4 linked regions of the Coturnix japonica genome follow. The protein of the gene in region 1 interacts with the protein of each later gene in a pairwise test. Links are inferred from orthologs where the notes say so. Each region holds a gene or a part of one and is shown on either strand. Other genes may lie near its edges.

Region 1 (6,691 bases):
AGAAATAAGCCCGCAGAGTTCCTAATACTTCTTGAAAATTTGGAGGTGGGATATTCATGGCCTTTGCTTTTGCGTGGCCATGGGCAGGCTCTGCTATGGGGGACCCAACACTGCAGAGCTGCAACCCCCCCGGTACCAACACACCCCAACAGCCGCTGGCTCAGCAACAAGCTGCTCTTGTCAGGGAGTTTTTTTCCCCCTCTCTCTATAAACATTTCAGGGTTCCTCAAAAGAAACTCCAGCCGTAGAGCACGCAGTGCATCTCCTGGGCTGAGCCGCTTCCAGCAGTTCAAACGAATGCAAAGCAGCGGCGCTCCCGACCAAAACAAACAGGGCTGTGTGCGCCTTCCTGCTCCCAACGCTTCTCCGGGAGGGGGAACGGATGGCGAACACCAACAGAAAAAGTGACACATCAAATAAAAACACAAATAAAAGAGGTCTTGATTCAGCAGGAGCCTCACGGATCGCAGCCCCACCTGCCCTCGGGTTGTTCCCTTCCCAAGCAGCAAACAACCTCCCTGCTCAGCGCTGCTCCCGGAGCGCAGCACGAGGTCACGGCACAGGGAGCGCCGCAGCAGCTCCTGCTCAGCGCAAGGAGGAGCAGACGGGGAGAACCACCAGGGCCGCTTCCCCTCTGGGGGTCGTTCATCGCCGCCCCGTGGGCTGGGAGCAGGCGGGGGCAGCCCCTGGAGGGCCACGCAGGGAGGACAGCGAATCCCATCCTCTGCACCACCTGCGGTGCCCCGACCCGCCCCACAAGACTTTGGGGTTTTGAACACACTGACTCACAGCTGCCCTTCCCATCTCCCTTTTCCTTTCCATCTCTGTGACCTGCAGGTCAACCGAGGAGAGAGCAGAGGATGGTTCCAGTGATGGATGAGGGAGCATGAAGCTTCCATTGCCCCGCTCACACAGCTACAGCTCTATCAAAGGGCAGCACCCACAAGAAACAGCAGCAGAGTGGGGCCGTGTGGGACCAGTGCTCCCAGTGCTGTGCCCTCACTGCCACTCAACTAAAGCTCTGCTGTAGCAGTTCAAGCAGACAGGGGGTCCTCTGCCCCCAAACCCTTCCTCAGTTGCCACTGCTGCCAGGTCAACAGCCCCACACTTCTCATCCTCTCAGAGACTCAGAACAAAACCCCTAAAAGTCCCACTGTTCTCTGCCACACTTCCAAAGGAGCATCATGCTGTGCTCTGCATTGCTCATCCTGGTTTAAAGGCAGTGAAGGGCCCAAAGAGCAGTGACTGCAGGAACCCCCCCTGCTCCCCATGACAGTGTGTACCCCCCACACCTGAACCTCCTCCAGACCTCCCCGAGCTCCATGCAGACAGAGCAGCTCCTGTCTCCAGGCAGATACAGGCACAGATTAGGGCTCAACCTCAAACCATTTCCCTTGCAATTTCCAAGCGATCTTTCTTATCAACTAATTAAAAAATTTCCATAGTGAGGCTGGAGAAAATCATGACTTGGGAACGTTCCCATTTCAAAACAGCCCTGAGCCGTGTGCAGTGCAGTGTGGAGCTGGGCCCCCTGGGCAGCACTAACCCTATTGCAGATGGGGCCCATGGTCGCTGGGCTCAGGGGGTGCAGCTCCCCACCAGGACTGCTGTTACAATCATGGTTTGAGCTGTGTGGGCATCCAGGAACCCCAGCACATCACTGCAGCCACAGCTCACTCCTGAGCTCCCCACAGCTCCCTAAATGCACAGGTCCATATTTACAACTTGCAGGTAAATTACTGTGGCTCCAATCAGGAGTGGGCACTTGTTACCACGCAGCCACAGACCAACTTTCCTCGAGATCACAGATATAATTCTTGACAGGGGCTTCTTGACACATAAATAATGACACTCTTTTGGAGGCAATCTGAGAGCATCCAGCTAAGAAACAGCCTCTGAACATCACAATATTGTTTCTGCATTGACAAACGGAGCCTCCTGGGCTTCATTACTCCACTCCAGGCGCACGCTTTTGCATTTTTCTTTCCTCTGGGAGCAACGAAGGGCAGAACCACAGGCTGCGCACTCAGAACATTCCGCCACAGCTCCCGAATGGGCTGAGATATTGGGATGAGGGTTCAGCAGCAGCCAGAGCTGAGAGCAGCTCCCACCCCTCTCCTTCACACCAGCCACACTCTGCAGATCACACTGTGCTTCCAGGACCTGTCTGCTTCCCACCCTGCAAACTCCATAGCAGAAAGTGACTCGATTAACTTTTCCAGTGCTCTGCTGAGAGCATCCGTACACAGATCCCCATTTATTTGATACCAGCTCCACGTCACACTCCTGGAAGCGCACAGATCTCCCCAGTGATCTCCCAGTAGATCAGCACAGGGCACAGGCTCTTTTTTCAAAGCAAAGCACCATCCAAGCAGACACCAAAGCTGGGGAGCACATCACACAGAACACGGTGCAAGAGCTGAGCTCGGGCACTGAGGGCACAGCGCAGCACCCCAAGAGCTCAGAGCAGAGCTTTGCACATTTGCACGCAGGATTATATGAGCCGGTTTTATAAATGCATGCAGAGGATTACGGAACAAGGAAAAAATCCCACAGCACACATTATTGCCAGCCTGATTCTCAACTCTACATATGGCGAGAGTTTATTGTCAGCAGAGTTCCACCAGCTGAGCGGGGTGGCTCCTCTCTCACCCATACAGAGCCACAGAAAAACACCGGCAGAAGCAGCAGCTGCCGCCCAGCAGGGCAGGTTGTGGATGCACCGTCCCACCCCATCCTGGCGTGCGGGGTTTGCTCCCAGCCCTGCCCAGTGCAGCACAACTTGGAGCGCATCCCAGCGACAGCTCCGTGCCGCTTCGGGCTTATAGCAGAGCACAGCGCTGAAGGCTGAGGGCGGGCGCAGTCTGCCGGACGAGGAGCGTCCCAGCTCCCATCCCACCCCACTGCCCTCCCGGCCCGTTGCTCATTGACAAAAAGCACATTGTGGGCCGTCAGGAAAAGTCCTTTGCTTTAAAAGCCGAGTACCCAATGAGCAGCCCTGTGGCGAACCGCGGCTCTGAGCTCAGCACCGTCCCCGCCGCGCTCCATCACAGCCAGCACCGCGAGCAGCGGCGCCGCTTGTGCCCGGCTGTGCCACCCGGGGACGGGCACAGACGGGTGCCCGCAGCCGCCGTACAGGCCACGCCATCCCCGAAGGCTCACGGCCAGCCCGGCACGCAGCCCGCAGGCCGAGCTGCTGCCCACGGTCACAGCCCCGCGTGGGCCGCACGCTGTGTGCCCGATGGCCGCTGGGCACACACAGGGACCCCGTGTCCGCGGGACGCTTCGCACCCCGCCGGTAACGGACCCGCGTTGAGCCGACAGCAGCACGAGGAGAAGGGCTGCAGCCAGGGCTCCTGCCGGGCTCCTCGGAACAAGTTTCCCTCCCGACCCAACGCCTTCCGATTGGGGCAGAGGAGCTGAGGTTGTGTCCCGGCTCTGCCGCCCCGAGGCACGGCGCTGCCCGCTGCCGGGGGAACGGCCGGGATGGAGAGGGGCAGCGGAGCGGAGCATTGCGGCACGGGCACTGCGCTGACCCCGGCACGAATCCAGCTCGGCTCCTCGGAGCCTCCCGGCGCATCCCCCTCCTCCCACAACTTCGCTCTGGCCGCAGCTGTCCCGACCCCGCTCCGGATCGCGGCCCCCGCACCGCCCGCCCTACCTGCCCAGCCGTCCGCCTCCGCCGCCGTTTGCAGCATCCTCCCGCCGGCTGCTCGCTCCCGGCTGGGCGAGCGCGCTCCCGGAGGAGGAGGAGGAAGAGAGGAGGAGGAGGAGGAGGAGGAAGGGGGCATGAAGGCAGCGCGCGCACCGCCGCGGTCCCGTCCCCCTGCTCCCCCCCAGCGGCACCGCGTGCATCCCAGGGCCGCGTCCCGCATGGTCCGGGCACCCCTCGGTCCCGGGGTACCCATGGAACCGAGCCCCCCACCCGGCTCTGCTGCTGCACATCACCCCCAAAGGATTGGGGTCGGTGGTTGCCGGAGTGGACACACTGAGCAGGGTCAGCAGAGGGCACCCAGGGCTGGGGACACCAGCACCACGCACCTAAGTCTCAGTTTTGCCTCTGAGCTTTCCCCATCACCCCCAAGAAAAGGCTCCCACATCCCGTAGGTCCGAGCATCAGCAGAGAGCTCAGCCCCACACAAAATTAACGCCCTGGGAGCAGCAGAGGTGACATCAGGGGACTCTGTGTGAGCTGTGGTTCTGCTGGTGGCTCCGTCCTGGAGCTTGGGGACATCACTGTGCATCACTCAGGGTGCACAGGGGGGCTCAGCTGCTCATGGAGCACAAAGTGGGGCTGCTCCTCAGCCATCTCTGCTGGAGTGCAAGGCACCTGCAAGGCAAAGGCTGCTGCTCTGCCGACATCCAGCTGCCTCATGCTAAGATCAACATCCTTTTGAGTGTGAAAGCACATGTTTTCCTATCACTGTTCCTGTTATTAATATTTTAGCAGCTCCCAGAACCTTTAAGCGGGGCTGCGCGGTGCTGACACGAGAGAGTGGATTTTAGAAAGCCCCACTGCCCACCCCAAGGAATATTCTGTCTAGACACGTTATGTAACCACGTTTTGCCCTCCTCCAGGACATCACACAGAGGATCTCAAAGCACTTCACAAACTGCTAATTAAGCTCTGCAGACCGGGTGAGAGGGAATTGCTCTGCCCTGCCGGGCTCCCCAGCCAAGAGCACTCTGCTCCGAGCAGACACACTCAGGGACTCTCATCTCCAGCAGCTCTCACCCACACGCTGCTTTGCCATAAAAGCAGAACCAGTGCCAGGATGGAAATGTCCGATCGGCCCCAGAGCTGCTGGCAGAGGGACTGAGGACTTTCAGGCTCTGAGCTCTGCTGAACACACAGAGCCCAGCGGGCACCCACAGGGCCACCTCAGCCCTGCAAGCTGCAACCCACGGGCACAGAGGCAGAGCCCACAGCAGCAATTTCTGGGCCTCAGACATCAGACTGCACGCTGGTGGCCCAGCAAGGCTCAGTTTTGCTTGGTCAGTCCAAGGTTCCCTTCTTGGCCACCACCTGGGCTGGAAGAGCTGAGCAGTGCCACTATCTCTCAGTATTTTGATTTCTAAGAATCCTTTCTCCAAAGCTTACTGCATATTTTTGCCACCCCATCTGATTTTTACAATGTTGGGTATTTTTTCCCTTCCTATAAATAATTACAGGCCCTCTAATGGCTCTCAAACCTTGCATTACCTTCACTGTCAAGAACTTGACAATTAACAGCATAGCCATCCTCTCCAAGGAGCACACAGGGCTGCAGCTCCAGCCCACTTTCTTCACTCACATTAACCCTCACAATCTCTTACTGCCCCTCCCCAGCACAAACACACACAGCTGGTCATACCCCCCACCTTAACATCAGGACTGGAGATTATGAACTCACCTGCAGCTGGGGAAGGCCTTGTTCCAAGGCAGAAGATCAGGTGGCACCAATTACTCCTAATGGGGCACAGATTTGCACCAGCTGAAGTTTTGAGTGGGGTTCTGAGGGTGCTGCTCTTTTCCATCAGACAAATGGGTTTTGCTGATTAAATTCTTCACACAAATGTTTTCACCTCACAATCTGTCCTACTTCCTGCACAGTGCTGCCCAGCAGCATCTCATTTCTACCCAAGTGGCTCAGAGCAAACCCCAACTGATGGCACCAAAGCTTGTTTTCCCATAGAGAAGCATGGCACAAAGAGAAAGGGCAAAGCAACACAGTCAGCACATACAGCCCATGGGGACACAGTGCAGCCAGCAGGGATGGGGAGCCCCACATAGACCCCACACAGCCATTGCCCTGGGAGGAATCAGTCCCAGCTCCACTTTCCAGGAAGCCCCCCTGGCTCCTCCGTGGCCGTGCTGAGCTGTGCCAAGCTGCTCCAGCAGCTGCCACGGCCATTCAGCAGCTGTTAAGCCTATAATTGCTCCTTGAGTCATAAATATACTTTTTTTCTTTGGTGAGAGCAGTGCTGTCAGGGAATTAAAACCTTTGCAAAAAGCCCGTAAAGATTTCATAAATGTTTCAAATCCAGATCGATGTGTCTTCATGGCTGGGAGAAGGGGGAGGCAATGGGGAGACGGGGCAGGAGGAACAACTCCAGCCATCGTGGGTTAAAAGCATCTTTACAGGGTCCATGGGGACACAGCTGGGGGGCATCGTGGTGGAGATACAGGCAGGAGGACAGGAGCTGCTCCACCAGAACTTGGGAAGGCAGCACATCAGGATGGGGTGTGCACAGTGCCCCAGGGCCCCACATCCATCCCTGTACCCCAATTCCATCCCTGTGTGCACTACATCCTGCTGCTGGGAAAGCCACTGGCACACAAGGCAACGCATGGCATTGCATGGCAATGCACAGCAGTTGCTCTTCCCTTCCCCCCGTCACTTTTAATTAAAACCTACAAAAGACAAGATAACCAGCCCTGCTGCATAATTGCAGGGAGTAAATTTTATTGTATAGAAAAGCAGTTTAAATTTTTAATAGACTTATATTTAAGGAAGAGCAACACTTTGAAGGGATCTGCGAGCCTGGGTGGCATTACCAAAGGCGAGGAGAGGAAGAAAGATGGGTTTATTACATGTGCCAAACAGAACTGTTATTTTAGGGGAGTTTTGTGCTTCTTCCTAATGAGAGATGGATCACATCGGCTTCATTTGCTGTAGGAGGAAAATTAAACCCAAACTGCTCTGAGGCC
Region 2 (6,516 bases), on another chromosome or scaffold:
AGCCGGAGGAGAGGTGGCTGCGGACGCGGCCCTGCAGCTGAGTGACCTGTGCGCGCAGCAGGTTGGCGGTGGCGGCCAGCTCGGCGTTCTGCCCCTTCAGCGCCTTCACCTTCTCCTCCAGCCGGGCGATCCGCTCCAGCTTCCTCCGGCGGCACTTGGAGGCCGCGATGCGGTTCCGAAGCCGCTTGCGCTCCGCCTTCAGGCGCTCCTGGCTCTCCGCGTCCAGCGGCGACAGCGACGGCGGCGTCGGGGCGCTGCCTCCTCCCTCCCCGCTGGCGGCGGGCGGCACGTCGGGCACAGTCTGCGGCTCCTCCAGGGCCCGCGGTGCCGGCAGCCGCCCCGCGCCCAGCCCCGCCGGCCCGAACGGCAGCCCCGGCGGCGGCGGAGGAGGAGGGGGCGGCGGCGGCGCGGAGGCGGCGGGATAGGCGCTGCCCGAGGGGCTGAGCGGCCCCGCGGGGGTGAAGCCGCTCAGGTTGGTGTAGACGGCGGGCGGCTCGGCGGCGGCCCCGGGGCGGGCCGGGCAGCAGGGCCCCGGCGGGGAGAGCGGCGGCGCGCTCAGCAGCTGGTTCTGCTTGTGCAGGTCGGCCAGGGCCTTAACGAAGCCGTCGGCGAAGCCCTCCTGCTCCTGCGTCACCGGCTGTCGGTACAGGAACGTTCCCGCCGCCGCCGGCCCGCCGGCTCCCCCGGCCGCCGCCGGTCCCGGGCTGCCGGGCCCCAGCCCCGCGCCGCCCTGGATGAGCAGCTGCTCCAGGTCGGCGGCCGGCGGCAGCTTCAGCAACGGCAGCTCCGCCGCCGAGCCCAGCGCGGCCTCCGGTCCGCCGCGGTTCGCCGCCGCCCCGGCGCCGGCCCCCGCCGAGCCCTGCGCCGAGCCCGGGGGCGGCGGGGGAGCGGCGGAGGGCGGCAGCAGGCGCAGGGCGGCCGCGCTGCCGCGGGCGCTGCCGGGCGGGCGCAGGGCGAAGGGCCCGGGCAGCGGCGAGGGGGCGGCGGGCGGCAGGTCGCGCTTCTTCCCGGCTCCCAGCAGTAGCTTCGGGCCCGCCGCCGCCTCGGCGCCGGGTCCTGCGGTGGCGGTGGCGGCGAAACCCGGCAGCGGCACGAAGTCGGGCAGCAGCTCCAGCCCTTCCTCGGGGTAGAACGGCGCCTCCATCTTCACGGCGGCTCTCCCGCTCCGCCCGCCGCTCATGCTGCCGGCCGGCCGGGGCGCGGCGCGGCGCGGCGCTCCCCGGTGCCCGCCCTGCGGCGGCGGCGGCTGTGTGTCGCGGCGCGGCTGCGTTCGGCGGGGGCCCGCAACCCTCGGCTCTCAGCGGGGACTGAGCCGCCTCCCGGCGCCACCGGCCCCACGCCCCGCCCCGGTCCCGCCGTCTGCCCGCCCCAACGCCGCCGCCTCCCCCGAGCTCCCCGCCGCCGGCCCCCGGCTCAGAGGGGCTGCGCGGGGCTCCGCGAGGGGCCGCGCTCCGAATTCGGCGCTCGCTTATAGACCGGCTTATTGCCCTTCTCTCCATCCTGTGTCTCTGAGGGGTTCCGGACCCCATCCTGGAGCTGCTTCGCGCGGCTCCTGCCCTTTGCTCCCGCTGTGGGTGCGCCATAGGGCGCTGCCCGCACCCCTGCTCCCGACACCAGCGCCCGCTGCCCGCCCCGCACGGGACAGCGAGATCGGGACATGGGGCGCTCCGGGGGAACGGCCCGCTGCTGTTAGTCGCTGGTGTAATACAGGGAATGGTACGGCGGAGCGCACTCCGCGTTAACTTTTTGTACTCCATCGCGTCGGTGTATTGTTAGCTCACCCTAACACCTCAGCAGGGCCCAGCAGCCCACACACACCCGCACCCCATCCCGCCCTGGGGGCGCTCTGCCGCCGCGCCGCAGCTGCCCCTGAGGTAGTTCCGGAGCGAGGGGCGGGAGCAAGGCAGAGCGCCGCTCCGATTGGACGATCTGCTTCCCGAGGCCCCGCCCCCCATGAGAGGACCCACCAATGGGCAAGGGCGGCGCGCCGTAGCACCGCGAGAGTTGCTCTGAAGCTGGTGCCGCCATCTTGGAGTTGGGAGAGGCCGCGTCCCGTTGCCGTCCCTCTCGGAGGGTCACCGGCGGGGGGGGACGGGGCACGATGGCGGCCCCACGGTGAGCGGACGGCACCTGGGAGCCCCTCCTCGCGCCGCTGGGCGGCGGCGGCCGCGGGGCCGGCGGGATGGTGCAGTCGTGTTCTGCCTACCGCTGCCGGAACCGATACGACAAAGAGAAGCCCATCTCCTTCCACAAGTGAGCGCGGGCGGCGGGACGGGGTGGGGCGGGGCGGGGCGGGGCGGGCAGGGCGCCAGGGCGGGGACAGGGCCGCGGGTGTGCGACCTCCCGACGCAAGGGGGCGCTGGGCGGCGGGAGAGGGGCTGGGATGGTGGGCCCGGCGTGAATAAAGAGTTTGAGAAACGCTGAAAATAGCTGTTGTTGTCAGGTTTCCTTTGACCAGGCCTGACCTGTGCAAGAAATGGGAGGCGGCGGTGAAAAGGAAAAACTTCAAACCCACCAAGTACAGCAGCATCTGCTCCGAGCACTTCACGCCCGACTGCTTCAAGCGGGAGTGCAACAACAAGCTGCTGAAAGAAAATGCTGTGCCCACTATATTCTGTTACACTGAGCCCAGTGAAAAGGTAAGCGCACACTGCTCACAGCCCCAGGTGCCGAAATGCACTGTGCAGCTTCTCCTGTCATTAAGGCCATTTGTCATCACTGCAGTTGTGTTACTGGTGCTGTCCTGTTGTAACAACTGCAGGCTGACATTTGTATCTGGGTGTTAACTGCACTGGGTAGGGCTTTGATTGTTCACAATCAGACCATCCCAAAAATATGACAGATAATACAAGGCCCTGGGACTTTTCAGGACTGATGGCCCATTCTTTCTCCTGTAAATCAGAAGACAGTGCTTGCTGTGTTCTTTATTGCAGATAGAGTTGCAGAGGCTAGTATTAAATCATCAGCATAATGTTATAGCTTCACATCAGGTGTCTTGTTCTAGTTAGCCAGGTCCAGAGCTATTAAGTCATGGCTACAGGTAGGACTATCCAGATGCCCCTGTGAAAGAACCCAAAAAGTCCAGCCTCCTACAAAATAGCATTAACTGCAAAATTGTGTTATAATTCAGAGCACCATCTGCTAGCCACTTTTCTTGATCTTCCAGAGTATGTGTTGGCCACCACTGACAATATATAAAACTAGTGCCTGTCTGTTGAATATTGAACATATTTAGGCAGTTTACTTGTGTTCCAGAGCTAACATAAACCCTTTCTCATGCTCAGGGCATCATCTGTATTTTTCCACACAGTATACAATGTTCGATTTAATGCAGAAATAAAGAAGGAACATCTAGAAAATGAAAAGTGGAAATAATAGGCAAGAGACCATACATAGCACAAGGTATAAAGTGAAATGTGGACCATTTTCAGGTCTGCTTTTTGTGCTAAGATCTGTTTGATGACGGTTCCCCACAATCTTAGCAACATATTTCCTATGTCACTTAAAATTGTTTGCAAAACTTATTGCAGTGTGAAAGCTGAAGGTATTTAATATTGACATCAATGCAGTAGTTCTGAGCCACATTCTCTCATTCATTGCAGTACCTGGCTTTATGAGTGCACAGAACAGTGGCTCCTTATGGAAAAGGAGTTGGTGGTGCTACTATTTATGTCACAGCAGCTTTCAGTGTATCTTCAAGACATTGAATAGTAGTGAATAAGGACAGCATTTTTTTTAAATTCATACTGATTTTGAGATACAGCATTTTTTGCATCATAATTCTTGAAATACTTTTTTAGCTATGTCTGACAACCATTTACTGGATGTAAGAAGGAATAAGAACTCACTTGTGACGTGTGAGCAGTATGAACGATGAGCTCTCTGTGACACACAGTGACAGCAGTAACACAGCATGTGCTGCGTAGCTCTTGAATACATGCCTCTGTCTGAATGCAGCTGTCTGGCAACAATGCCATTTTTGCTCGTGCTTCTAACATGGGCAGAATTCTCTCTGCACATTATGTCTTTGGTTTGTCATCTTAGCTGAAAAGTTTGAAAGCTGTAGGTCAGACATTTTAGAATATTGGTATGTGATTTAGATGGACACACCTGGAGCATCCACTTCTTATAACTGAGAACTGACACAGGCAGTGGGCTGGTTTTGTACTTTAAAGTGATCAGTAATACCTGAGCAATGTGAAACTTCCCCTCAGTACCAGAAGTGGAACTGTGTTCTCAGTTCCTGTGCCTAATGTAGTTTGTACAAGGATGACATCTGTACTTCCCAATCTGACTGTTGACTTGTTCTTTATGTTAAGGCAAGAAGCTTAATAATGTGATCTTCCAGTCTCAAGAGGGGACAGTTGGTGGCTGTTAAAATTGAAGATGCGATCATCTTCATGCTTTTATTTGTAGTAATAATGTTGGGGACAGGGAATTAAAAAATCGGTTTCAGTGTCTCTTTCACTGAGACATTCTTAGGCTTTTGGGTTTTTTTTGGTTTTTTTTTTGTTTTTTTTTTTTTAAACGGGTAGTATACATTATGTGTGCATTTCTGAATAAAGTATGTTCCTCTGGGGCAGAATAATCAGAATTCTCTTTGACCTCCTCCCAAGTGATGACAGGTATGCATTGTTCTGAACCGTGCAAGTGTCTGAACCTATCTGGAGCAGTATGGTGAAGCCTGCAGTATGATGTGGGAATGAGCTCGCTTAGTGTTCTGCTCTATCCCATCTGCCAGCCACCCAGTCCTATTTTCTTACTCCTTCCATATGACAGCTCTCACTGCATGGCTTTGACTTTAATGCAGGACAGAACTTTATTGCAGCGATGGTGGAAGTGTGAATAGCTTTCTGTCATCTTAGCAACATCCTGTATTTAGGGAAGGATTCATAACAGAGCTGGGAGAGCTGTTTATTTTGGCTCATCACATCACCAAACCCTTCTGCTGCGATCCCAAAACAATGTGATGGTCAGTCCTAGTTGTGAAGAGCCAGATCTTCCTGTGTCTACTTTCTCTGCTCTGCCAGCTTGTCCATCTCCCTTAGTGAAATGGTTCTTATTTTGTCATAGCAGGGGATTCTCCAGTTCTGCTGTGCTCCTGGTTAGGTTAGCTGATGAGTTCAAAGTGTATGTGGTGAGATGCAGTAGAAAGAAAGAGGGACAAGAGGGAATGGGATGGACTTGATGAGCTACCGGGTCTGCTGAGCTCTTTTCACAGGACTGCATCCAGGATCCTCATCTAATCCTGGATATCTATTTCACGTGTCCTCAAAAGTGAGAATGACTTCTGGGCTCTTCAGTTTCAGATTTGTTCTAGACATCAAGGATTTGAGTTTCAAAAGAGTGGAAACAAAGTTGATTAAAATACTTTTGGTTTAGAAAACAGGCTAAATGAGCCAGTTTTGAAAACTGAGGCTTTGAAACATGTGGTGGGTATTTTTTAATTGTTTTTTTTTAAGTCCTAGTTGTTTATACCGTAGTTGCCCGTGCTAATGGAGTTGTGTTGCAAAAATGCTATGCTTACAAATGTACTTTTTTTGGTTTGTTTCAGCCTGAAGAATTTTCAGAGCAGCCAGAAGATCCGCTTCCACCACCTCCACCACCGCCACCTCCACCACCTCCACCGCCACCGCCGCCACCTGCAGCTCCCACGCTACCACCGTCTCCATCAGCTCCTTCTTTTCATTTATCTCAGATAGATGCTAGATTCGTAGATCCAAGTATCGGATTATTGATGCCTCCTCTCCAGACCCCTAGCAATCTTGCTGTTTTTTGTGATCACAATTATACCGTAGAGGATACAGTTCATCAGCGAAAAAGAATTCAGCAGCTAGAGGAACAAGTTGAAAAACTGCGGAAGAAGCTCAAGACAGCGCAGCAGCGATGCCGACGTCAGGAAAGACAGATTGAAAAACTGAGAGAGATTGTTCAGTTTCAGAAAGAAAAAGACATGCTGGCAGGAAAAGGCTATGTGATTCTGCCCAATGACTATTTCGAAGTTGTAGAAGTACCTGCATAAAAGTCATGAGCATCCATTTCCACTTTGCTAGGCTAAGAAGTTTAGCTTAAAAACTAAATGCTCTGTAATTCTGTTTGTGAGACTCTTCCAGAATCCTAAACCAGCAAATAAGCTGTCATACATAGGAGATCACATTTTTTTTTCCTCTTTGTTTTCATTTAAGTTTGCTATGTTTTTTAATGTACTGAAATGTAAACATCTCAGAAATAGGATGCGCATTTATTTTTTGAAGTAGGAACTGCTTTACAGAAGGAAAGGATGCATTGTTAAATACACTTAAAATCTGTACTTTTTTTTTTCCTCTCTCTTTTTTAACAATGTCTGTCTTATGCTTACACAGGATAGGAATCTATCTGAGAGTGAAGCTGAGGTTGTTCTACACTTACTGCAAAACTTTCTCAAGGCATTTCATGTTTGCTTAGGTGATTCCTGATAAATATGACTCTTTTAGGCCAGCTGAGTACCTGCAAGTGCTACCTTGTATAGAGAAAGTT
Region 3 (6,025 bases), on another chromosome or scaffold:
ACATCTCAGGATGCCAACTGTAACGGCTTCACTAAGCCTTACAAAGGATAAGGGTGCCAAGATGTAATTATTACTGACTACTACTACATGCTGGGAGAGTATGAACATGAGTAAGTCTGACTCAAAGGTGTTCAGAGCATAAGAGTTGACAAACATGTATTAGAACTTGGAAAATTCTCAAAGAGAAGGAGAAGAATAAAAACAATACAAAACAAAAGCTCCCAAGCCTTTCACCTGGAGAAAGATCATCTACTGGAAGAGGCTACCCAGACAGGATATGTAATCTCCCTTGTTGGAAACTTGTAAAATTGAACTGGACAAATGTTGGAGATTCTCTGCCTAACCAGTACTGCTCTGAGTGGGAATCTGGCTTAGAAAAACTAAACAAATCCTTAAGAACAGCACTAAACCAGTTTTCTAGCAACCAAGAAAACACCAATTTACTCCATTTCCACGCAATTAAATAGGAAGGTAGAAACTGTATTCTATTGGGGGTGGGGGGGAAGTCTTCAATGAAATTGAAATTGGTTTTACAGAATTTTTTCTTATTTTCAAAGAATAAACAGAACTGAGATTGTGCTGCAAACAAAACTGCACAGCTGACTGGAAAGAATCCTGCCGCTCTGGAACTCATTTGCAAACAGATACCTGATAATGGTAAGTAGGAGGCTGATAAACTGGTTGCGTTACCATCATAGGTGAACTGGAAACGGAGCGTGACTTAAAAAGACAAAAAAGTTACAAGTCAATGCAGCTATTTCATAATTTGTCACTCCTGTTAAGACCCAATATTAAGTACTATATGCTGAATTGTGTCCCCCACCCTTTTAAAAATGGATTGACCATATTTTAACTTTCATTTGAATTTTTCAAGATCACTACTTGCAAGGAGCCTGCATTACAGATGAAGTAAAAGCATGTCTTACTATCATTGTATTAAGTGCCTTCTGAAATTGGATAAGCTCACCCACTATTATACTGACTGCACACACATTCCTGTAACAATTTTAGTCAATATAAATTATCAATGAGGTATTCCTACCCCCTCATAGACCCATTCCTTTCTTCTATTTTCCAAGTCTTTACTTACACCAGCCACAGTATTCATCTGACTGGGCAGTGATCCAGGAACTAAACTAGCTGAAAACTTATTTTCTATTTTGTAGGGTCAGAAAAACATCAATGAAAGGAAGGAGTCAATTTCTCCATACCCACTAAAGCCAAGTATTTCATCTACTGCATTCTTCCTCCTAAAATAAGAAGCACTCCCGGATAGACAGGAATAATAATAAAAAGGAGTATGGATGGGACTTAAGGTTAAGTATAAAAACTTAAGTTTCAGCATTAACTTCTTTTATATTCAACACAGTGGCCACAGCAGCCAGGAACACCTCACCCATGGAGCAATGAAAACTGAAGCCAACCAAGGACCATAAGCACCAACGAATCCTCAGTAACAAAACTTCTGGGGCAATGACTACACTGATTCTGAACGAATTCTGTCCCATTCAGTCACACCAAAGCAAATCCCTCCACAGAAAAACAATAAACTTAAGTAATGTGTTTTAAATCTGAATACAAGAAAGAAACCCCTTAAATATCAAAGATAAGGTGTAGCTGGAGAAACCAGAAGTAAAAGGGACTTGGAAACCCTGTATTCATCTTGGACTTCAGAAAAACATACATACAGAAAAATCAATTACTTACTGGCCATGGCTGCTGAACAGAAGCAACTTCAGGAGTATGAAAATAAGCCACTCCATTATGGTAAATATAAGGATATCCACTGGAAGTTGTTAAGTACATTGTACCACCTTCTTGTATTACATTAGAACCTGAAATCATTTTTGAAGATGAGTTACTTAACAGTATTTATTGACCAATGCAAAAGTCATAAAGAGGAAGGAAAGATCATTTCTGATCTTCAGAAATGCAAAACATTCAAAGGAAAGAACATGGGAAAGAACGTGCCACCTCAGCTCCATCTCAAACAAAGAATCACAGGCTGATGCTGGGGTAGATGGGAAGGGGTATGGAATATAACATGCATTTTGATTACTAAACACAGACAACTCCAATTACCAGCAAATAATTTTTTTTTAAATCTTCAAATGTCCAAAGGTAACTTCACATTGTGGGAGATTTTCATTGGTAACCTCCACATACTCATATTAAGCTGAAACAGGATCCAAGCACTAAAAACAACAGAAGGATTTCATTATAAAATGCAACCCGATTTCTCAAAGCACAAAAACTGTGTGATGGCACATTTCCTGACGTAAGAACAGATATCCAGATGTCAGCAATGGGAATGCTACCGCACAGGCTATAATGCTCTGACCCCAAAGCACAGTTCCAACTGTACAGCTACCAGGTATTGACAGTAAGCTCTGCTCAATAAGGAGGCTTCCATTCCTATGTAGAGGCTGCTTTCCTCAATCACTGCTTTTGGAATCACCTGGAGTCTGTTCCTATCTGCGTTTCGTGGGTAAGTAGAAAGAACAATGTTAAAGAAAAGTTTCAGTTCCAAATATACACGATGCAAAGGAAAAAAAAAAGAAATAAAAAAATAAAGGAAAAATGATTCTGTAACCAAAAGAAATTCTGAAATCACATTTAACATGCAAAACAAATAAATGAAGAAAAACACAAGATGGAGAGCATCATCCCTTTGCAGCTTCCTTGCAAAACTGCATCAGGAAATGCCATTTTATGGACAGGTACGTGCCAAGTGGATTGCCACAAAGGTAAGTGGAGACCAAAAAGGACCTCGCTATGATTCAAACTGCCTTCATGGATGCTAGGAGTTCAACTGACTCCTTGAAAAACTTGAGGATGCTTGTTTACATCAAAGCTGAAATATTACCCATTGAAAAATCATATGCTAAGTTGACTCTTAGCAGAGTTAAACAGATGTGAGAAAAATTAGAGACTACCTGAATTCCAGTAAGCATTCTAGAAAAGCATTCTTGCTATCTCAAATGAAGAAACCAAGCGAATTCCCTGATCAACTATCCTATCCACTTTGCCAAATACAGAGCAGTTAGTAAATATATATATATATAATCTATATATATATATATATAATTAATAATAAATAAATAAATGAATGAATGAATAAATAGAACAATGAAAACCATACAAACTGGAAGAAAAGGTTCTTTATAAAACCCAAACTCACTGCAATGGAAAAATGGAAGAACTTGGATGAGGCAGAGCTAAGCTGAAGCTTACGAGATCCAATCACAACTGTACTGCAAGTACATAAGCATTTTCATTCATAATCTGTGGCTATTTTAAATCAGACACCTGTATTTGAGACCATCCTGGAGGATAAATACAAACTAGATTCATGTTCTAGTAAATCTAGATTCACTAGATACTTACAAATGACGGATGCACTTTGCATTCCGTATACGTAACTGCTCTTGACTGAACCAAGACAAACTCACTGCCTGGACTAGAACATGATATATTCTTATGCCAGATTTGCATGGATTTAATTGTAAGAATACCAACCATCCCAATATGGTCAAAGCTCTTCAGAGAAAATGTCCTGCGTTAATAGCAAAGATGAAAATTGCTCTGATCAACAGTAGAGAAAGACAGCAACTCAGTTAGTTGGGCTGGAAAAGACTGATAAATGAGAGTATCAAAGGAACAATCATTTAAATTCTGCTAACTAAAACAGTTACAGTGACACTGTGACTCTAGTTTTCATGGCTTCACAGGCCTCCAAATGATCAAATTAACTCCATGACTAAGGTTAGTGGGTTGAGCATGACAGCAGACGAATTGAAATTAGATCCCAGGATGTGTATCTGGATGCCAACTGTATCTTCTAACACTGTCTGATTATAGGCACACCGGGCACAAGCATCAGGAGAATGAAGCCATGCAAGTGCAGCAACGCACTTGAGAATCTTCAAGTCAAAGACAAAAAGGGAAACAAAGCAATGCAAACAGATCAAGCAACAAGAAAAAACCACCAGAAACAAACAAAACCCACAATCAAACATGTAACACCTTGATGATGGCTGAGCGAAGATTGCACAATTATTTCCTAAGCAAAGAAACAATACAGAAGAAACAAAGAATTTCCACTCTCCTGGGCAAATCTTACTCTACACACTTAAGGGGGAGAGGGGCGTACCTAAGCATATAGAAGTACAAATCTCCTTTCACGTGAAGGTATGTCTGCAGCATCAGTAGTAGCGTACATATGAACTACCTCTTAATAAATTGACAGCAAAAACTAAGAAAACTATACAGTTAAAACTAAAATTCCACAGAACAGAACAGGTCCAAAAGTGTGTGTTCCGCCGCTCCCCTCCAAAAGGTACCGTAAGATGAACACTGAAGTACAAAGATAAGCTTCATTTGCTTCTGCACTTCTCAAGTAATGCATTTTACTTCTGATTTTTATAGACATCACTGAGGAATAACAAAATAGCCGGCATAAAAAAGCTGGCAGTTCTCATCCTGAAAGTTAGAGGTTTACACCTTTTGCAATACATTACGGAAACTAAACAGTGCCTAGCAGAAGGTGATGGTACATTCTCTAAGAGGAAGCCTAAAAAATTGAACGATTATCCCCACAGAACTTCTTAACAGCATACTTGACCAAAGTAACAAACCAATAGTTGGCCACCTGACCAATAGTTCTCTCATGTATGCTTTCAGTTTAAGCAGTTCTTTGCCAGAAAAGGAACCTTTAGCAACTCTGCCTTTATTTTAAAGGACAGAAACCTAAGAATTTAGTGGAGACAACAAATACCCGCTCATTATAGTTTCTACTGAACAAAGCAAGATGCCATGGTTCTGAGGGATTTTGCTACTAACTAGTAATAACACACAGAACCAGGAAAGTCTGCTGAACAATTTGTGAGGACAGTGTTTAGAACTGAGGTTCTGCCATGTAACTATGATAAGATTCCATTCCCCTTGCTCCTACATAAATCATCATCCCAAGAGAGCAAACAATACACTAAGGAGGAGAAAAAAGTTCTGAAGATCAATCCTGGACTTGCCAAATCTGGATTTATCCACTGGTACACATTTATTCTGTGTTCTCTTTATAGCATTAAAACAACACATGATCAGGCACATCTTGGTTAAAAATGAGATGTGCAATGACATATATAATAGACAAGTGCAAGTGAATATACATACGGGGAATCCGTGTTTGTTGTTTTCTTATTGCAGGACCAATATTCAACTTCTTATCCTTGTAATTAAGTTTTTTAGCCTAGAATTTAAAAAAAAAAAAAAGTACTCAGTATTAGGTTTTTTTTACATAGATCAAGGCATTTAAAACAACAACAAAAACCAGAGACACTGCTTCTTATTTAGAACACATATTGACAAAACAAGAACCACATTAGCTTCTTCTTTAACCTGATCTTAGACTACACATACATAAAAGCCACCATTACTTATCTCAAGTATTCCTTACTCATCATAGAGCCTCCTGACTAACAGCTACCTTTAATTCTCAGTTTTTTGTTTGTTCTACCCTTCTGCTCATACAGGCATGTTTCTACTACTAGAATAAAAAGTAAACATATTTAGAAATGGACAATTTCAAGTATAAACTTATTTTTTTCATAATTACAGCCTTGTTTTTATAAAGCAACTTATAAGAACAAGTCTACAAGAAGGACCAGAGTATAAGGACTGAACGTAATAAAAAGCTTAAATTTTATGTGAGACCTTGGGACTGCCTTAAACCCGTGTTACCTTCCTTACATCCATGCTAACAAATGACAAAATAAATAAAAATCAAAAGATGTCCTAATAGCAGAATACCTTAAAAAAGTGTGCAAAGAACCAACAAATTATACAGTCTTCTGATTCCCACTTAGCCCTAACTGCTACCCTACTATGCCACAAAGTTTTCAGCGTCAGGTGTAATTTCTCTACTGCAAATACACCAACTAATCCTATTGAAAACTGAGCAATTTCCCCTCCCAAAAACTACTGTCAGTTTCACTCCAACCACATTCCTCCACAGACAACACAGGGT
Region 4 (4,945 bases), on another chromosome or scaffold:
TCCCTGGGCAGCCTATTCCAGTACTTAACTACCCTTTCTGTAATGAAGTGTTTCCTAATATCCAACCTATGCCCTGGCGTAACTTGAGGCTGTTCTTTGTTACTTGTCTGCACGGTTCTATTCAGTGTAAGAGAAACTCCCTGTTGTCTTGTCTTTCAGTACAGCCATTGGGATAAGGTGCAAAGATGGCGTTGTCTTTGGTGTAGAAAAGCTCGTTCTGTCCAAGCTGTACGAAGAAGGCTCCAATAAACGTCTCTTCAACGTCGATCGGCACGTTGGAATGGTGAGCGGCTGCTTAAGCTCTCAGGATTTGAAGGGGCTCAGAATAATATTAAAGAGATGCAGTGATGGCAATTCTCCTTCCAGGCAGTAGCGGGGCTGCTTGCAGATGCTCGTTCGTTGGCAGACATAGCTAGAGAAGAAGCTTCTAACTTCAGGACTAACTATGGCTACGACATTCCACTGAAGGTAAGAAATGAGCGCGGTTCACTCAGAGCTTTTGGCTTTTTTAACCTTGACAGCGATAACCATAAGCAATAATTGTGATTTACTTATTTCTGCAAATAAAGGCCTCCGCTTTTCTTTTCCCCCTTAGCATCTTGCAGACAGAGTGGCCATGTACGTGCATGCATACACACTGTACAGCGCTGTCAGACCTTTTGGTTGCAGGTAGGTCTTTCCAACATGTGCTTGTTTGTAAAGGCCTTTTGCTTCAGAAGGGCTGGAGCTGTTTATGTCTTAGCTCATTTTTCACATTTGGTACCGATAAACCAAGAAGTGGGAAGAGTTTCCCCTGTCCTTTGTTTTATTGCATCAGAGCAAACCAGGCTGTGTATGGCCTGCATGCCTGTCCATCAGGCTTAAAGCTGAGGAGTTGATGTTGAATCTGTGTCCATTTTGAAAGCAGAACTTTGTGATCATCCCCTAAAGAATAGGTAATAACTACCATGCAGCTGTGGTTACCAGGGAACTAACAAACTGAGGTCTGTAGTTATAGTTAAGTAAAACATTTCTGGTCAATTGCAGGTGCTTTGGGGTCACGATAACACTGAGCCTTCAGACAAACTGCTTACAGAGTGTAATAGGGTAGTGGGGAGCCCTGACTTGATTTAGCTGTCATTGCTGTATGTGGGTTGGCAGAATGACTGTTTGATTTTGCTTTTTCTCACCCAGTTTCATGTTGGGGTCCTATGATGACGATGACGGCGCACAACTGTACATGATCGACCCGTCAGGAGTTTCATACGTGAGTCTTTCAGAAATACTGTTACTTTTAAGTTGCTCTTTTAGAGGTTTCTAATCTGGACATCAGTAACGTGGCGTGCAGTTCTTAGAAGCAGCACCGCTTCCATAAAGCCTGTTTTTAAAGCTCTCAGAAATGTGGGAGTTCATTCCACCTGTATGCAATGAGGAGTCCCATCCATTGCCGCAGGGTTGAGTGCTGCAGTGATAACTCCGCTCACAAAACACTGAGGTGCAGAGGCTGCTAGGTGGGCTTTGGTGGTGGTCTTTTCTAATTCTACTTTAATTATAGTAAAAGATCCTATGCGACAAACAGAGCAGGTGTGTGTGTGCCCAGAGGATCTACTTAGCATTGCTCTGTCAAGGGTGGCAGTGCTTAACCCAATAACTTGTGAACCTCACCTGAGAGAGAACAGTGCCAACATTTGCTGTGTATCTGCCTTGTTACAGGAGTGAAGGAGTCGTTAGGTATGTGGTGGATGTAGTATTTCATTAACCTTACACTTTTCTTTGTTGTTTAGGGTTATTGGGGCTGTGCCATCGGTAAAGCCAGGCAGGCTGCAAAAACAGAGATTGAAAAGCTTCAGGTAGGTTGTTTCACTTTTATTGTGTTGCTTTCAGGATGGATTATTTCTGCCTTTTTAGATGCCTTAAATTCATAAAGTACAAGAGAAGCAGAAGTATTTCCTAATACGTTGTCTTAGCCTCTATAGGAGCAGTGTTTCTGGCATCTTGACCCTGGGCAATGGGAAGTCCATAGTGAGCACACAGTTTTAAAAGGAGAAGCATAAACATACACTTCTTTGGTTACCAGCCTAATTGTTTTTGTAGAGCTGCAGTGTTTGTATTCCTTGAACTTCATGGTAGGGCCTGTGAAGTTCAGTAGATGAGAACAGGGGTGTGCCATACAGCACAGCTGTGCTGATCTGTCATGGCTTGTTTGCAGAATGCTTTCAGTGTGATGTGGTCAGAGCAGCATGAAGCAAGTGCGGTCTTGTGTGCTGATGCTTCTTGGTAACGGTGGGCTGGACAGGTTCCAGGGCAGAGCTGATTTTGTTCAGCTGATTTCCTGATTGAATGACAAAACATAAATGGGAAGAAGACAAATGCAAACGCTTTGGTGGGGTGGATAGTGATAAGATGAAGGGGAGTGGTTTTAAACTGAGACAGGGGAGGTTTAGGTTGGATACTGGGGGAAGTTTTTCCCCCAGAGGGTGGTGACGCACTGGAACAGGTTTCCTAAGGAGGCTGTGGATGCCCCATCCCTGCAGGCATTCAAGGCCAGGCTGGATGTGGCTCTGGGCAGCCTGGGCTGCTGGTTGGTGACCCTGCACACAGCAGGGGGTTGGAGCTGGGTGAGCACTGTGGGCCTTTGCAACCTGGGCTGTTCTATGATTCCATGCTGATTCTATGATCCTATTAGCTGCGGATCTGTCCTGTGAAAGATGACTGTAGATGGAAAGAAAGAGGTGAGAATATCATCATAACCTTGAAACCTGTCTGGCAGGTACTGCAATGCAGGTGCTGCATGTGGGAGGGGATGCAGTACGTGAGATCTGCACACGCAGCTTATACTGCAGGTGGGGTGCACTGCATTGATCACATCTGTTGCATCTTATGCAAACATTTGGTATCTTCTGTCACATGGGGCCTGCTTGAATCTGTTCATCTGCAGTGCTTCTCATGTTATTTTCAGATCATATTTATGACTTTTTTTATATGGACATAATGGGGAGTTAATTACAGGAGTTAATTACAATTACAGTATTTCCTATTTGGGGAAGATTGGGCCAGGAAAAGAATAATGACAAAAGATAAATGAAAGCTTTGTTTTGTAAACACACATGACAGTAACAGACCTTTGGGTTTTCTTGTTTCACTATTGACTCCATGTGCTTAAATACACATAGGTGTGTGACGCAGATTAGATTTATAAATAGAAGTCAGCACTGCGTTACGGATTGAGTCACAAATGGAAGGGCTGGGACAGTGTCTCTGTTTAGGAAACTTGTTGGAATGCAAATGTGACAGCACATCTACCTAAGCAGGGCCGTTTCCTTTTCCTTTGGCCCACTGTGTACTTGGGTGTGTGCATTACACACACACAGGAAGTGCTGTCAGACTCAGCATGAAGAAAGAACTGCTGTCCTTCAGCAGCTTCTCAACCAACTTCTGTACGATGGCTTTGCAAAGTGGTTGAGAATCTGAGATGGTAAAACTACATGTATCTCATAAGCTCTACCCTAAGCTCGGTGTAAAATATGCTGGTCTAATCAATAATCAGGTATGTTTTAGTGAGTGAAAGATGCATTGTGGAGAATAGGCACATCACAGTCCCTCGTTTGCTGGCCAAATGCAAAACAGGATGTTCTGCTAAGCTGTATGTTTTTTGTCTGCAGATGAAGGAAATGACTTGCCGTGACGTTGTAAAAGAGGTTGCGAAAATGTAAGTCTGCAGAGTGTTTCTCCAGCTCAGCAAAAATAGGTGCTTGTGGGCTTGTTATGGTTTCAAAGTGAAGCTGTTCCCTTTACATGAGGTACCAGGTTTCACTTTTGTAGATGAGTGCTGGTGCTGATTCTAGTCTGGTGTTCTATTAAGATCTGTCTTGTGAGATGGGCTGGGGGAAGTTCTTTACTGTGAGAGTGGTGAGGTGCTGGAACAGCTGCCCAGAGACGCTGTGGATGCCCCGTCCATCCCTGGAGGTGTTCAAGGCCAGGCTGGATGGGGCCCTGGGCAGCCTGGGCTGGTATCAATGTGGAGGTTGGTGGCCCTGCATGTGGTGGGGGTTGGAGCTTCAAGGTCCTTGAGGTCCCTTCCAACCCAAGCCAGTCTATGGTCTCTTCAAATAAATACAAGTATCCTTTCGGCTGTTTCCAGTACTTAATGCTTACAGGGATACTTCTGCACTTGTCACAAATCTAATAATATGCAGCTACAGAAATAATTTCCAGCCTTTTATGGCTGTTCCTTAGAGGTTATAAAGAAGTAATAAATGTTTCCATCAATGGTGTTGCAGCATGTGAGTTTATTTATGTGGCTGTGTCAGAGGCTATCATGTTAGCTGCTAAAGGAAAGAATGTGTGGGCTCTCTGCTCCTGAAACATAACAAGGACCTCAAAACGACTCTGAAACTGCACAAACAAAGCACAAGGCTGTAAGTTGTTGTAGGCTTAGCAGATGGGATGGAGAGCTCTACGTACAGGTTGTGTATTAGCAGTTGTGTTTAGATTTAGTTTCAAGTATAAGATGAAACAAGATTTACAGGGGAAATGCAGGGAGCTCCTGCCACACTGTGACTGATTGAGCAGAAGCAGGCAATGATGTCATAGCCTTGGTTCTACAGTACTGGAATCTTAAATAACATTTATTGTAAAGGTGATGTTCTGTATTGGGTTACTCAGCATCTCACCTACGTGGGTACCTTGCATCTTATCTGTAATCATGCAACACACTGTTTTAGTAATGCTTTACTCCACAATATGCCCTGATAGACTCTTTTCCTCTTGAAATGGGATGAGCACAAAGGAGAGGTTGAAGAGAAAGCAGGAGGGGAAGCTTCTATTACATGTAGGAAATGGTGTTTCAACAGAGTAAGAGATGTGTGAAAGGAAGAAATTATAATTTGCCTGTCAATAAATCTGTTCTAACCTCCACCCTCTCCCTTTCTTTCCAGAATCTACATCGTTCATGATGAAGTAAAGG

What was found.
Region 2: the proteins of ZNF385C (region 1) and THAP1 interact in a two-hybrid assay, tested with the Homo sapiens proteins (3 studies listed by BioGRID). The two-hybrid records come from large-scale screens. The link is inferred for Coturnix japonica from reciprocal best matches to the Homo sapiens genes ZNF385C and THAP1.
Region 3: the proteins of ZNF385C (region 1) and BOLL interact in a two-hybrid assay, tested with the Homo sapiens proteins (2 studies listed by BioGRID). The two-hybrid records come from large-scale screens. The link is inferred for Coturnix japonica from reciprocal best matches to the Homo sapiens genes ZNF385C and BOLL.
Region 4: the proteins of ZNF385C (region 1) and PSMA3 interact in a two-hybrid assay, tested with the Homo sapiens proteins (2 studies listed by BioGRID). The two-hybrid records come from large-scale screens. The link is inferred for Coturnix japonica from reciprocal best matches to the Homo sapiens genes ZNF385C and PSMA3.

What each region holds. Positions count from the first base shown.
Region 1 is NC_029542.1:4,426,292-4,432,982, forward strand, and holds the start of ZNF385C (zinc finger protein 385C), read right to left. Parts: upstream 3,819-6,691; 5' UTR 3,792-3,818; coding exon 3,662-3,791; intron 1-3,661.
Region 2 is NC_029547.1:47,538,182-47,544,697, reverse strand, and holds the start of THAP1 (THAP domain-containing protein 1), read left to right. Parts: upstream 1-2,141; 5' UTR 2,142-2,182; coding exon 2,183-2,253; intron 2,254-2,443; coding exon 2,444-2,639; intron 2,640-5,554; coding exon 5,555-6,022; 3' UTR 6,023-6,516. Other genes in the region: transcription factor jun-D-like, read right to left, coding at 1-1,180. UniProt on the Homo sapiens protein: DNA-binding transcription regulator that regulates endothelial cell proliferation and G1/S cell-cycle progression.
Region 3 is NC_029522.1:8,891,505-8,897,529, forward strand, and holds part of BOLL (protein boule-like), read right to left. Parts: intron 5,249-6,025; coding exon 5,173-5,248; intron 1,836-5,172; coding exon 1,708-1,835; intron 721-1,707; coding exon 649-720; intron 1-648. UniProt on the Homo sapiens protein: Probable RNA-binding protein, which may be required during spermatogenesis. May act by binding to the 3'-UTR of mRNAs and regulating their translation.
Region 4 is NC_029520.1:50,257,949-50,262,893, reverse strand, and holds part of PSMA3 (proteasome subunit alpha type-3), read left to right. Parts: intron 1-159; coding exon 160-283; intron 284-366; coding exon 367-468; intron 469-595; coding exon 596-669; intron 670-1,173; coding exon 1,174-1,246; intron 1,247-1,763; coding exon 1,764-1,829; intron 1,830-1,830; exon of another isoform or gene 1,831-2,311; intron 2,312-3,641; coding exon 3,642-3,688; intron 3,689-4,916; coding exon 4,917-4,945. UniProt on the Homo sapiens protein: Component of the 20S core proteasome complex involved in the proteolytic degradation of most intracellular proteins. This complex plays numerous essential roles within the cell by associating with different regulatory particles.